2 linked regions of the Schizosaccharomyces pombe genome follow. The main gene of each other region encodes a partner of the protein of the gene in region 2 in a complex. Each region holds a gene or a part of one and is shown on either strand. Other genes may lie near its edges.

What was found. The genes of interacting proteins can lie anywhere in the genome.
Region 1: img2 (region 2) and mrpl22 share a complex: the UniProt entries of both Schizosaccharomyces pombe proteins name them as parts of the mitochondrial large ribosomal subunit.

What each region holds. Positions count from the first base shown.
Region 1 is NC_003421.2:2,027,634-2,030,813, forward strand, and holds mrpl22 (mitochondrial 54S ribosomal protein uL22m), read right to left. Parts: upstream 1,502-3,180; 5' UTR 1,398-1,501; coding exon 648-1,397; 3' UTR 541-647; downstream 1-540. Other genes in the region: helicase Hrr1, read left to right, coding at 2,022-3,180. UniProt on the Schizosaccharomyces pombe protein: Component of the mitochondrial ribosome (mitoribosome), a dedicated translation machinery responsible for the synthesis of mitochondrial genome-encoded proteins, including at least some of the essential transmembrane subunits of the mitochondrial respiratory chain.
Region 2 is NC_003424.3:589,190-592,725, reverse strand, and holds img2 (mitochondrial 54S ribosomal protein mL49), read right to left. Parts: upstream 1,660-3,536; coding exon 1,480-1,659; exon of another isoform or gene 1,309-1,479; coding exon 1,171-1,308; 3' UTR 574-1,170; downstream 1-573. Other genes in the region: csr102 (sec14 cytosolic factor family phosphatidylinositol transporter), read right to left, coding at 2,467-3,536. UniProt on the Schizosaccharomyces pombe protein: Component of the mitochondrial ribosome (mitoribosome), a dedicated translation machinery responsible for the synthesis of mitochondrial genome-encoded proteins, including at least some of the essential transmembrane subunits of the mitochondrial respiratory chain.

The sequences.
Region 1 (3,180 bases), on a different chromosome or scaffold from region 2:
ATCTCAACTTATTTTTTCATTATGGCCCATTAAAAAGAATTACTGTCTATTTGATGCGGTTTGTTTCCTTTTTTTTCCTACTGATCATTTGCTACTGCAAATGAGTTAAAATGCGGATCCAGCGTACCTTTACACCTAATAATTGGGGAATTAATGATATTTTATACTCGGTTTGCTTGATTGTTTAAAAGTGTCTGATGAATTTAGAACCAATAAATATGTGTCAAAATGGTGAAGAGATATGGATAGCTTCAACATATGGTCCAAAGCACGTTTTGAAAAGTCAAAAAAAGAAGCTCGTTGCAATGCTTCAAACCAAATTTGAAAAATGTTAATGAGGCAAACGATTGCATGAATGATTTAATAAGATTAGACAGTTTAAAAAGAATTGCGTTCTTTACGAAAACGTATCATTGAACTAAAAGTGATGTATGTACAGGTTGGTTAGTTTACCTTTTTACAGTACTATTTTTCTACTGATACCATCAGCACCATAGAGGTAAATACAAAATTATGGCGTTGCTAAAGAAATAAATAATAAGGGAAACCATATTCTCATAAAAAAAAAACGGCACTAGAATTACTATAAACGATATTGGGGGGAAATATTATTAGAGTATCAAAGATATGGGCATCTCAATAATGACTTAGCAAGTGAAAAAGTTAGATTTTAGGTATATTGGTCGGTTAGGCAGAGGCGTCCAAACTTTCTTTCTTTCTAGTCTTTGTTGACGACGCTGTAAATCGCGCAAGAGAGCTCGCTCATCTCTTAAAACAACAGTAACTCGAACCCGTGGAGATCTCTCAATGGCACGACCTCCACGGCCCATAGTGATAAGTTTCTTTAAATACTTTGCCTTTCCAACCCATATTTGATCAACGTAGAGAGTACTCTCATCAAGACCAGCTTCACGAACAGCGTTTTCTCGAGCAGAAACCAAAGCAGTTGCGATGTACTTGGAAATTTTTTTATCTGACATTTTCATTTGAAGTAAAGCATGATAAAATGGCTTATGGGCAATTTGACGACACAAAGCGCCGACTTTCTTTAAAGAGGAGCGAAGCACCATTGATTGTAAGGTGTAGGAAGGATCCATGGTCTCCTGTTTTTTGAAAGAAATACGTGACCTTGGTCTCTCTTTTACACGCTCTTCCTTTTGCTGACGATTAGAATCGTCCTTCTGGTTAGCAAGCATTGAGAAAATGTCGGACCCTTTTTGCGAACCCAAATTTGCAGGATTTTGTGCAGACTCCCTTAAGTAGGATCCATTTGAAAATTCTCTAACAAAAGAAAGTAATGGAAATTTGTAATGGTACGTTTTAGAATTCAATCCTATCGTGGACGATGGAACTAAAAAGCCCTTTGATATTTTCATAAATTGATTAATGTATTTCATAATTAAATCTTAAAAATTTTTTCCCAAATATTCCTTCCACACATAGAAGTCAACGTTTTCGACTAATTTGAGCAAATGCGCTTTCTCAATGTTGTAACAAAACCAGGTAAATATTACATGCCAAGGTGGTACTAATAGGAATTGCAACCTAACGAATTGCTAACTGTACTATGTTATAGGTCAGTTAGCATTTCCCTCCTTATACAGTTATAAAAATCTTAAATGAGAGAGCTCACTATCACTATGCAAGCTACTCAGTTTGTAAATCTATTTCAAGGATGGATAAACTACGATAAGGTAACTTTACAACGATGTTAACACATGCTTACATGCTTTATGCTGGCACACTAAGCTGCACATTGCGGGTATTATCTGAACGCGTTAAATGCATGGTCACGTAAAGACAGAAAACGGCCCTTGGCAGTAAACAAACAACCCATTTGTATGTTAGACAAATAATATTAGAGACAGGTGCAGAGACTGTACATGAATTGTTATTTATGATATCTTTTAGCTTCTTTGGGGAGGACGAGATTAATATTACGACCTAGTGGGCGCGTACTGAGATATTTTAGTACAATAACCTTTTGAAATTTTTTGGATATTATCCTTTTCTTTTTTATTATGGAACAAGTACAAGATGAAATTTGGAAGTTAAGTACGCTGGACGCCTGGGAAATGGTGAACAAAAATACAGAAGTTGTGTTTGATGAAATCCCCGAGCCAGAAACTTTAAGTGAAATGAAAAGACACCCATTGTATAGCAACATCTTTAACGCCGATAATAATACTACGAGTTTCACAGAACAAATCGAGACTTCTGAAACCTCCAAAACCCAAGACTCGGAGGGGAACAAAGTTGATAAAAATTTAAAAGAAAACAAGTCAATACGTCGTAAGAGAAGCATTGACAACGATTATGAATTGAGTAATGTAAAGAGAAATGATATAACATCGGGAAAAAATAGAGAATTCGAAAACGAACACCATCCCGCAAGCGATACTTCTTCTTGGCGGGAACTACCATCAATTCCAACGTTGGAAGAATTGACGTCAAAGAGTGTTGAATTACCTTCAAACAACATATACGGAGGATACAAGTCCTTTGAAGATTACTTATCTATACACTATCGGTTGCTACGTGAGGACGCAGTTTCCCCATTACGAGAAAGTGTGCTTCGGTACAAGGTAAACCCCAATTACATTACCGGCTCTTCGTTAGCCGTATATGATCATGTGCGGATAGATGGCTATACAATATCTTCCAGTGTTATAGCTGCAAAATTATCCTTCAGTGTTCGCGCTAAGAAAAAAATAAAATGGGCTACCAGTCGTCGTCTTATCAGTGGATCTTTAGTTTTATTAAGCAATGATGATTTCCAGACTTTTCGCATTGGAACTGTCTGTGCGCGGCCCTTGAGTGGCCTTAATAAACATCCTCATGAAATAGATGTCAAATTTGAAGATATTAGTATCTCTTTAGATCCTCGAGAAGAATATGTTATGATCGAAGCTACTTCAGGCTATTGGGAAGCTTACAAGCATGTTCTTCGTTCATTACAGAGGCTTTCTGCTAGCACATTCCCGATGAAGGATTACTTGGTACACTGTAAAAGTAATCAGGAGACTGCTAAACACATACAAAATAATCCTAGGATACGCATAAATTCTATCTTAAAAAATAACTCTCAAAAAATCGTAAATGCTCTTGAGCCGTTCGGTCCTGGCGAGTATATACTAGACTCGTCACAGTTAAAAGCTTACCAGTCCATGCTGACTAAGA
Region 2 (3,536 bases):
AAAAGGAATAAAAGGCTTTCGATAATCGAATACAAATGAATGCGGTTTGTTCGCATTCAAGGAAAGTAAGGTATTAATGTCAAGAAAAAACAAAACAAAAAATTCAACACGGAAATAAAGTGCCTTATATCGTGTCAATGCTTAACCACTTTTTGATAAACGAAAAAAAAATAACAAAAAAAACAGAAAATCATTAAATCATGGATAACCGTAAGTATTTTTCGAGAAAGCCTCAGTTCACTAAAGAAAATATAATTCCCAACATTAAGAGTTATTCAGCTTATAATCACCAATAAAAAAGGGATAAACTACAAGGAATTTTCTTCTCGTGAATAATTAATTCATAAGCAAATTGTAAATCAACGTCTTCAGAACAAAGCAAAAATTTTAAAAGCTAAAAATGTTTGTCAAAATATTCCTATCACAGACAAATCCAAGTTCAATTCAAAAATAATGAAAAAGTCGTTGAGATTTCAGGATTATAAGTATGTGTGAAGGGAAAGGTAAAGAACAGTCCATGGGCGTATGACGCAGATATATAGATTATGTTTGAAGGTATGTTTTCGATATAGCATTTAATATTTGTCAATTTACAAACTATACAATATTGAGAAAAGAATTTTTAATTTAGTTATATACCCTAATAGCCTTAAACGTATTCTGTCTATAACTACAGTCAAAAAATAAAAACACCGGAGTTTCGATATATATATTATAATTTCCTTTAAGCGTTTATAAATTCAACAAAACAAACGAATAGGTAGCAAAAAAAAGATTGTATTTAGCATTTGGACGCCTCACATTAAGCAGATGTTTGAATTTCTTTTTACGCAAGTACCTCTTGAATGTTTCTACTGAAGCTCGAATAACTATTTATTTAAAGGTAGTTAAGGAAAACCATCACAAAAGATGCATTTTTTCCATTGTCAAGTTTGAAAACCACGTATGATGAGAAGAAATGAATCGAGATTAATTATTTGCAACAGCTGTGTTTTATTTGACATTATCACCGCTGTAACAAGGAGATGAAGTAAAAGTAATATGCTAAAAAGCCAAATTGATATATATGCTCGAGAGTTTTATGTTGATAAAAAGCAACTTTATCATTCCTTTGAAAGAAGGATACGTACATACATAGTAACAATCTAAAAAAGGAAAAATTCTAGGAACTTAAAAACCTTGGTCTTGTAACCATTCACGAACTGTGACTATGTGATTTCCCTTTAGGACAACTTGATTTGTTAACTTGTTTACATAAACATCTTTCGGTGACATTTTAAGTGTGGAAATGAGCCTGAGCCGCAAAGCCTATTGATAAAATATTGTTAGAAAAAAAAAAGAGAACGAATAAAAGAAGTTAAAATAAACTTGGGTTGGCCGTTAAAGCAAAAAGTTGATAGAACAATTTCCGCAGCATAGTGACTTTACTTGTACTTTCTTTAGCCAAGAGATTACTGCTGACGGAATATGTATACTTACATTAGAATCACCATGGATTTTACGAATTAAAGTCAGAATTTTCGTTCCTCGTTGTTTGTAGTCTAGATAGACTGGGAGATTTTTTGAAGGTGTACGTGAAACATGAAACCGAAGTGATTCGGATGCAATTGTTGAGTTGAACCTCAAATTTGATAGCACTGGCTTTAAGGATGATCGCATTTGGTTCAACAAAACTTTCTACGAGTTGCAGGAATTTATGGTGGATGTGTAAAAGAAGTCGTCGTGCATTCGCGAATAAAGAGGATTTCTATCATAACCTCCAAAAATTTGTAAGTTTTAAACAACTGTCAAACAGGAGCCTAAGATTAAGTGATTCACTAAGAACAATTAAAATAAAATAAAACGCTCTTGTTTTAAATAAATTTAATCGGTGCTTGAACCTCACGCGTGTTTAAACTCGAAAGTATTTTTACGGCACGGAATATACTTCAGCGAAGGTGCATACTCATTAAATTAATACTATATTTTGGAGTAGGCATTTAGGTGTTCAGCTTGTTGTTTTTTTTAATTTCGAACCGCTTTCCTACAATAAAATAAAAAATAATAATAAATAGCAAGAAATCTAAGTTAATTTGCAAATAAAACTGATCATTGATTCTAATAAAGACAAAATGGATGGATAAGTATTGCGACCAACAACTTCAATGAAAAGCCATAAGACCTAAAAAAAGTTATCCCTTTCTAGATGATTTTAAGTGCATTAAAGAGAGTGCTAAAAAATTAAAGCGATAAGGAAATGGTAAAACGAAAAGGGGTGTAAAAATCAACGTAGGAAAGAGATTTCATATGTAACTAATTGATATAAAAGATCTTGAAAGTTATGCATTAATAGATGATACAATCATATTTTGAGCCAGCATCTTATTTAGAATAACACGGGAAAGTACAATTAGTCAGTATACGGGAGTATAGGCAAGGGGAAGGATTACAATGTAAAATAGCAGGAATATTGAAAGTTACGACCGACTAAGTTGCCGAGCTAGTAACTTCTACCATTGATTCTTTGACATCTCCATTTGTAGGTTGAGAAAGAAGCAAAGTATGGGAAGTTTGAGGAGCAATTAGGCCCATGCGGTCGTAAACTGAGCGTGCGCGGATGTATTTATCCAAGTTCCAGTATGCATCAATAAGTTGTGAAGCTAACTTACGACGTTTTTGTTTCACTTCTGCCATGTCACCATTGTTCAAAATCCAATCCATTGTAACTTCCTCGTACTGTTTAGCAATTGCATCCTTTTTTGCTCTAAGACTCTTACGAGCTTCAACATTCTTCAGAGCTTCTGCTTCGTTTTGACAGGGTTCTGGATATGTATATCTCCATGGATTAGGCCCACCGAATTCTTTTAAAATATTGTCAGGATTTATATATTGTTGCAAATCACGATAATTACGAGTGAATTTAACCTTTGAGACAACCACTGGATCAAGCCAAGATTTGATGATGGACCAAACGCCTTGGAAAAGCCAAGGCGCTTTGTGTACAATACATTCACCCAGACATTCGGGATAGTGTGCTTCAAAACACTTGATCATGAATTTCAATGGCCCATAGTCCATATTGGACATACTGAAATCAGTCATATCAAAAACAACAGTAGCAGTTTCAATAGGAGGTTTGAGAATTAAACGAGCAGTTTCCATGACCCAAACTGTGAGTCGCTCAACCGATTCGGGTGAGACATCACCAACTTTATGAAGACGTGCGCGAATATAACAAACTGGACGATTGTGTTTATCTTCACCGAATATAAAACACTTTCCGATTCTTAGTTGACGCACAAAATCATCATCTTTATCAAGGTGGTCAGCGTTACATACAATTTCACCAACATTCATCTCTCTACTTCTCCAGTGAACGGTTTTCATGAACATTTCCAACGCAGCCTCAACGTTCCATTTTCGAGCACGAAGGAAACGAAGTAGAAGGCCATCAGGATCATCACAATTAACAGCATCCCAAAAGCAAACTCTAAGCCCTTCCGGGTCCCATTCACTTGCAATTTTTTCAACTCTTTCCAAATGCACATTTTTGGTTT